Neurospora crassa OR74A: one gene and its partner. The main gene of each other region encodes a partner of the protein of the gene in region 2 in a complex. Links are inferred from orthologs where the notes say so. Each region holds a gene or a part of one and is shown on either strand. Other genes may lie near its edges. The genes, in order: NCU08944 and NCU07936.

Region 1 (3,568 bases), on a different chromosome or scaffold from region 2:
AGGCCACGGCCTGGAAAACGACCTCAACGCCATGCGCATCTGCCACCCCACGCTCATCGACACCGTTCTTCTCTTTCCGCACAAGAAGGCCCTTCCCTATCGACACGGGCTGAAGATGTTGATGGAATGGAACCTCAACAAGGCTATCCAGGTGGAACCGGATGCTGATTCCGCCGCCGATGGGACGACGGGACAGGGCGGAAAGCTACTAGGGCACGATTCAGCGGAGGACGCAAGGGCGGCGGGAGATTTGGTCAGGTTCAAGATCCAGCATACGTGGGCGAGAATGAAGAGGGAGGGGTGGACGTTGAAGGATGGAGAGTTTGTGCCGCCGAAGGATTCGAAGGGGAAGAAGAGTGGTGGGGAGAAGCTGACGGAAGTGAGGAAGACGAGGGATGGCACGGAGGAGGGGGAATTGGTTGAGGTTTAGATTAGAGACGGGGGTGTCTTGTCACTTGGAAGCTGGGCGAACTGGAAAGTATTTGGTGGTGAAGAGAAGATTCAGTTGGCTTTGGGGGCTCTGTTGCGACACAGAATCTACAATGTAGTATGTTTGCCAAGTTTGCCAGTTTCTTGAAGTGATTACGCGAATTTCGCAACGATAGGCACAATGAGTAGACAAAAGCTATGCTTATTCGTTACTGCTCGGACTAGTAGACACATTGGAAGTGCTCCATTGTAAAATTGATGGTGATGTTGCCAATTCTGTTCTGGCTGTGCCCTTCTACTTGTTCATTGTTTACTTTGCCCCTTTCCCTCCAATAGGCCAGCCTTTTTTCTTTTCTTTTCTTTTCTTCTAATCCGTACAATGGGTATTTACAGAACCAATTTGAACAACTACTCTCAAATTGACTACATGACTATTCACCTATTTTGCATCCAATTCGCTACGCCGGGTATGCATTCATCCCACCATTTTCGAAGTGATCGCTCGGGGAGGGTTTAGTTCTAGACGCCCGTCTCCTTCTGTAAATAAAAAAACAGCGAATCTTTCTTTTTTCCTTTTCCCAAACCCCAGCCAGTAATGCCAAGTCTAATATCAACGCTCTTCTTCTTCTTCTTCTTCCCCTCTTTACAAGCACACCGTCACAGTAACAGCAGCAGTAGTTATATCTCTAGTGTTTACTCTCATCCCTCTCCACCAACTCACCCACACCTAACCCCCTACCGACCTTGACCTTGACCGTCTTATCCTCTTTCTTAGAGTCTGCTTCAGGATCACGACCGACATCACCAACCGCCTCACCCTCATCCACCCCTTCCGATCCCTTTCCTTCCTCGATTTTTGGTTTGGCGTCCTTCTCGTCCAGCTGCTCGGCCAAAAGCGCCTCGCGGATGGGCGCCAGGTCGAGCTTCATGCAATAGGCGTCCTCGCCGTCGGCGTAGTACTTGGCTTCCGTCTTCTCCGTCTTGAAGCCCAAAGTGTCGCGGTACAGGTGGATGGCGGCGGCGTTGGAGACGCGCACGTGCAGAGAGACGTAGTGGGCGCCGAAGGTCTCGACCATTGCTTGTTCTGTTTTTTCACACCGCGTCAGTGAGATGATAGGTTAGTTGGTGGTGCTTTTGTGTGGAGGGTAGAGGTCGAGCGGAGCGAGGAGAGAGAAAAAAAAGGAAGAAAGAAAGAAAGGAAAGGAAGATAAGGAGAGAAAGGAAGATAAGGAGAGAAAGGGGGGAGAAGGGGGGGAAACGACGTACGAGACTGCCTCATCAGCTTCTCAGCAATGCCGAGTCGCCTATGGGTGCGCATCACGCTCAAGCTAGTAATGTGACCGTGCTGCACTCCGTCCGTCGGCTCCTCCTCCATCTTGGCCAGGACGTAGCCGACGATCTTGGGGTAGTCGTAGGCGCTCTTGGCCGGGCGGCTCACGTCGACGGCGACATACGACAGCTGAGGCCATGAGAGCGCGTGGTACAGGTAGTACTTGAGGAAGTAGTTCTCGGGCAGGTTCTCGATGTTGGCGTGCTGGATCAGAGGGATGTCCGAGGGGCGGAGGACGCGAATATCCATTGTGGCTGTTGGGATTGGGGGGTTCGGTCTGGAAGGATGGTGGTGTTGGTGGTGACTTAGAGAGTGGGAGGGTTGACGACTTGGTGATAGCTTCAACTTTGGGATGGTGGTGGTGGGCTCTGGGAGAAGCAGCTGGACTGGTTAGTAACAGCTATCTCGACGGCAGGGTATTAGGGTAGGTATCCCCAGCAACGGATAGTACCAAGCTGATACGGAGCAGTCTTCAACGGGGGTCGAACTTACAAGAAGCGAGTCGCCTATGTCAGGGATCGGTGGTTCGGTGTTGCGGTCGCAGTTCACAACTTGTCAATGTTGAATTGGAGACTGCTTGACGCTGCGCTACGGTGGTGGGAGGCTCTGGATCCACAATCCGCACTCCAATGTGGGGCACTTCCCGTGTGGAATCCAGACTGGCCTGACCCCTGGCGGCACAGCTTCACGGTTGGATGATGGTGGGACGGCTGCTATAGCCGCACAAATCGCGGGGCAGACAAGCCCGGGAGCTAGGGGCAGTCAACACCGGGCCAAGCGCGCCGTGGATGCAATGTGATGCGGGGGAGCTTCGTCTGAAAGCTTCTCTGAATTCATGACAGTAATACTAGCCGATAATGAGGAAGTTGGACAATGTTCTCGTGACGGGCGGTGAATGTATATAGAGCTTTCCGCTCCCCTATGCTCAATTGACTCTGACTTTCATTGTCGTCTCTTCTGTTCTTGTGTGTGTGATTGCTGTGATACCCTCTTGATACCCAGCCTCGAGCTACCCCACCATAGATCACTCATACCAGAACGACAACACCACTTACAATGTCCCAACCACTCAAGGGCAAGCTTGCCATTGTTTCCGGCTCTTCTAGAGGTTAGTAACTCTTATGCTTCTTGAATTCACATTCAAGACACTAAGAATCTCCAGGCATCGGCGCCGCCATCGCCGAGAACCTCGCCTCCAAAGGCTGCAACCTCATCCTCAACTACACCACCCCCTCCTCCGCCTCCCTAGCCTCCGAGCTGTCCGACCGTCTCAACAAGACCTACTCCATCTCCTCCGTGCCCGTCCAAGCCGACATTGGCACTCCCGAAGGCCCCCAAGCCATCATCACCGCCGCCACGTCCGCCTTCTCCAAGGCCGATGGCTCCCTCCAGATCGACATCATCATCAACAACGCCGGCATCGCCCGCAACGACCTGATTCCCAACGTCAAGGTGGACGACTTTACGGAAACCTACCGTGTCAATGTCCTAGGCCCCTTGCTGCTCGTCCAGACTGCCCAGCCTTACCTCCCCAAGGACCGCTCTGGCCGCATCGTCAATATCTCCTCCGTCTCCTCCTCCACTGGCTTCATAGGCCAGTCCGTCTACGGCGGCTCCAAGGCGGCCATCGAAGCCATGACCCGTACCTGGAGCCGCGAGCTGGCTGAGAACTGTACAGTCAACGCTGTCAACCCAGGCCCGGTCGAGGGACCCATGTATGCATCCAACTCGGAGGAGTTTCTGGAGGGCATCGAGGGGTGGATCAAGCACACGCCGCTGATGAAGGCGCGGGAGGATCTGCATGGCAAG
Region 2 (3,912 bases):
TGGAGCTCAGCGAACTGCTCCTTGACACGGGGGTGTTCGGGGTTGAGCGCCTGAGCCGCGTTTAGGCAGCGCAGCGCAAGAAGATACTTCTCTGTATATTTATTAGTGAGAAATCAAGTACAGGGGTTGCATCTAAAACCTACTCCTGCGGATGTAAACATCGAAACCAGCAACTTGGCCCTCAATGTTCTTGGGGCTGAACTGCAAGATGTTGGTGAGGAACTTCATGGCATCACCCAAAGGATCCGTCGTAGCAGCGAGCTTGAGGCCGTTCGGATCGTCGTCTTTCTTCTTAGGTTCCTCGTCCTTCTTGGCCGTCGCCTTGTTGGGATCCTGCTTAGCAGCCTTCTCAGCGGCCTCGCGCTCGGCCTTCTGGGCTTCCTTGCGGGCCTTCTTGGCGGCCTTCTTCTTCTCAGCGGCATCCTCTCCGTTGGTGGCCTCGCCAGTGCCGTTGGTGCCGTTGGCAGAAGCCTGCTGCTTCTCAAACATGTCAAGGTACAGCTTGACGGCGTCAAGAGCAGCACGGAAGTAAAAGGGGTGCTCGCGGATGCTGTCCTCCCAGCGGATCATGTCGACATAGGCACGGATCTGACCCTTACGGAGGGAGAAGCTGTGGAAGTCGAATTGGTCCTCCTGCCAGATATCGAAAATGTTGTGGATGGTGGTGAAACGCTTGAGAGCCAAGCCGGTGTTGCCACGCCGTTGCCAGGCCTCACCATCTTCAGTCAAGAACCACATGCACTGCATGTCGGTCAAGTCAGCGAGGGGTCCGCCGACAGTTTCAGCCCTCGTGAAAAGACCCATGGTCTCGAGAGCCTTCTCGTTCTCGTTGTTCCGTAGTTGGTACTTGGCGGCCTTGGAGTTGATGTAACGATCCTTGGTGTCGAGCGAACGGGCACGGTCCATGGTTTCCGAGGCCTTGGCGGTATCGCCCTGGTGCTTGAATATCCTGGCCTTGGTCATGTGGAAGTCAACGTTCTTGGGATCGAGCTCGATGGCCTGCTCGACATACTCCATGGCCTTGGCAAGGTCGCGGCTGAGGTGGTAGTTGTAATGTTGCGCCAGGAAGTAAAGAGCAGCACCGACACCCTTGGAGCTGTCGCCGTTCGCTTGCTCAGACCCCTTATGCTCCTTCAGATACTCCTCGGCAAGGGCGAGGATGGCCTCCTTCTTGGCAACCTCAGAGTAGAGGTGCTTGAGGTTGGCAAACACCGAAGGCACACCCCTGTCCAACATGTTGGTGAGATAGCTCTTGGCAGCAGCCTTGAAGCTATCGCCGGTGAGGAAGTTGAGAGGCAACCTCTTGGCAGCATCCGAGCGAGGGTACTTGGCAGCATACTCGTCATAGATGGCCTTGAGAGCAGCCTCGTCCTTCTCGTCAATCTCCAAAGCCTCAATCAGACCCTTGTAGTACTCGGGGTGCTCGGGGTTCCTGTCCAGCAGTGCCCGCCACGCCTTTGCCGCCTCCTCTTTCCTGTTGAGCTGACCCAAGTAGCGCGCCCGCATTTCCATAACAGCCAACCTGTCCAGGCAGTTCTTGCAGTCGGACTCGAGGTGCTCGAGCGCACGCTTGATATCGCCTCGCTCGGCAATAATGGTGTTCTTGTAAAGGAGAGCCTCGGAGTGCTCCTGGTCGGTCTTGAGGGGAACGTTGGTCATGGACTTTTCGTAGGTGGTGAGGATGTTCTCGGCCTGTTCGAGGCTGCCTTCGAGCTGATAGGCAATCGCAAGGGCGGTCCAGTTCTGGCGGAGATGGGGCTTGGCCTTGAGCATGGCGAACCTGCTCTGGACGTAGCCCTGGTAGTCGCGGATCTGGACCTGGAGGACGGCGAGGTCACGCTGGATCTGTTGGGACTCGGGCTCGAGCTTGAGGGCAAACTTGTAGGCCTTGATGGCCTCGTCGAAGTTCTTGTGCTGGCGGTAGAGGATACCGTAGACGTGCCAGCAGATGTGGGACTTCATGTCGACGGTGAGAGCCTCCTTGGCGAGGGCAAAGGCCTCCTCCGTCTTGCCCTGGGAGTTCATGATCAGAGCCTTCATGGACATGGTGTCGCCATGCCTGGGGTTTTTCTTGAGGATCTGCTCGGCGGCCTTCAAGCCGCGCTTGTACTGCTTGTCCTCATAGTGGCGGATGACGGTACGAAAGAGGTTGGCCTCTCTCGTGCTCAGGGTTTGCGGCATCGAGGAATGGACTGCGGGGTGGGACGATGAGGAAAGGCTTGTGTTTCGATGTCAAAGACGGCCGCGGGGTTGGGTTGCGGCGGAAGGACGGTTGTCGCGGAGTGGGTTGTTGTAGTTGTTGTTGTCGTTGTTAAGCTCAGGAGGATGAAGACTCTCTCGACTCGAGTCGGAGACTGCCACTATGTCAGGTCAGGGATCAGTTCGTGGGGGAGGGGGACGAGGGGCCGGCCGAGAGTGGGCTGGTTTTGGTGGAAGTGGATGTCGTTGTTTCGGTGTCGGGGATGAGCGGAGCCTGGTGGGACAGCTCTTGCTACCACTCACAGCCAACAACATCGGGACACCGCGAGAGGGTTTGCACCGCACAAGTACCTACCTGAACCACCTAAACATGGGGAATGGTTATACTTACCGTCTACAGCCAAAATGAAAGAAGAAGAAAGAATACCTGTGACGGTCTTATGTGCTTGACAGACGTGACTATTCCACAGTTCTTGTCGACGTTGACGATGCACTTTCCCCAAACTGCAAAGTGAAATTCTACAGCTGACAATTTGGTGAGATGGGCGCATTGATCAAAAAGTTGCTCTCTGCCGATTGGCCAACAGCCGGCGAAGCTCTCCCACTCACCTCCCTATAAGTGGGGTTAATCTTTAGCTAGACTCCGGCTCGGCCCTCTCGGTAACAACACCGAAGACACGGAAGCCTCCCGCCAGATCCCGCGATAACTCCTCCCGAGACAATGAAAGATTTCCATAATTCCTCGCGGCGATAGACGAAAGCTTAGTAATTTGATGTAGATATTTTCGCTTCTTTCTTCAGATATATTGACAGAAGATCCCATTACCCTACAATTACAACCATTCATATGGTCACACATCCTAATACGCCATACCCAATGCTTAGCACACACTTTTTCACTTACACCCCTTCCTTCCCTCACCTTCATCTCTTCATAAGCGACCACATCACCCACTGCCATCAGCACAAAAAAAAAAATCATCTTCACGCCAACGGCAAATGCTTATCCCTCCTCCACTCTCCCAAAGCCTGCTCCCACGTCTTCCCATCACTCCCACACCTCTCCCCCACAATCCCCCACGTCCTCGTCCTCACAATATTCTCCACGCCCTGCTCCATCCTGATCACGCTCGCCAGCTGTTCCGTCCTCGGCTCTCGCGGGAAAAACCTCGCCGAGTAGGGGTCCAGCCGTTCATTCACCACCCTCTCCCGATCCTTCTGCTTCTCGGCCTCCCGGATCGCCGCCTCCGGGTCGTCCGGGTCCGGCGAGGTGGCCACCAGCGCGCAGTAGCTCAACACCTGCGACCGCGCTTGCCACGAGGGGAACAACACTTGGTCTTTGAATTCCTGGCAGGCGGCGGGGTCGATTTGCCGGGATAAGGGCCGGGGGCTGCGCTGGGTAGTAGAGGACGGGTCGAAGCCAGCGCGGGAGGGAGTGACGAGGGCGTTGAGGTTTTGGGTTATGGTGTCGTCGATGGCGGAGCGGGAGACTCGTAGGAAGTCTGTGGGTTTTGGGTCAGTAAATTGTAAAAGACTCTCAAATATTTGTGTCTATAAGGTGAAGGAATCCCACCTCGTAGAGCTGCTGTCGAAAAGCAAAACTGGGGAGTGAGCGCTGGTGCGGACGGCGCGCTTGTTGGCTGGACCATGGTGTTCTTGGGCTTGGGCTTTTCGACTGGAGGCGCTGCAGTTTGGCCAGCCGTTGCAGCAGCT

The links.
Region 1: the proteins of NCU07936 (region 2) and NCU08944 are in contact, whole or in part, in a crystal structure (PDB 4HNY), measured with the Saccharomyces cerevisiae proteins. The link is inferred for Neurospora crassa OR74A from reciprocal best matches to the Saccharomyces cerevisiae genes NAT1 and ARD1. Residues at the interface, in NP_010244.1 of Saccharomyces cerevisiae: Tyr199, Glu203, Phe238, Asp239, Lys240, Phe241, Gly242, Glu245, Ile262, Arg265, Thr266, Lys269, Arg270, Asn271, Pro272, Asp273, Asn274, Phe275, Lys276, Leu285, Ile287, Leu293, Ala296, Leu297, Lys300, Leu301, Gln303, Phe304, Tyr305, Pro306; in NP_011877.1 of Saccharomyces cerevisiae: Pro2, Ile3, Asn4, Ile5, Arg6, Arg7, Ile10, Asn11, Ile13, Ile14, Gln17, Ala19, Asn20, Pro25, Asn27, Tyr28, Met30, Lys31, Met34, Tyr35, Ile37, Leu38, Ser39, Trp40, Pro41, Glu42, Phe45, Leu52, Asp53, Glu55.

What each region holds. Positions count from the first base shown.
Region 1 is NC_026505.1:5,781,279-5,784,846, reverse strand, and holds NCU08944 (N-acetyltransferase complex ARD1 subunit), read right to left. Parts: upstream 2,344-3,568; 5' UTR 2,252-2,343; intron 2,141-2,251; exon of another isoform or gene 2,128-2,140; 5' UTR 2,009-2,127; coding exon 1,696-2,008; intron 1,514-1,695; coding exon 1,116-1,513; 3' UTR 725-1,115; downstream 1-724. Other genes in the region: NCU08945 (RNA exonuclease 3), read left to right, coding at 1-430; NCU08943 (3-oxoacyl-(acyl-carrier-protein) reductase), read left to right, coding at 2,816-2,867, 2,922-3,568. UniProt on the Saccharomyces cerevisiae protein: Catalytic component of the NatA N-terminal acetyltransferase, which catalyzes acetylation of proteins beginning with Met-Ser, Met-Gly and Met-Ala.
Region 2 is NC_026504.1:1,297,396-1,301,307, forward strand, and holds the start of NCU07936 (NMDA receptor-regulated protein 1), read right to left. Parts: upstream 2,718-3,912; 5' UTR 2,182-2,717; coding exon 144-2,181; intron 92-143; coding exon 1-91. Other genes in the region: NCU07935 (caffeine-induced death protein Cid2), read right to left, coding at 3,184-3,701, 3,773-3,848. UniProt on the Saccharomyces cerevisiae protein: Non-catalytic component of the NatA N-terminal acetyltransferase, which catalyzes acetylation of proteins beginning with Met-Ser, Met-Gly and Met-Ala.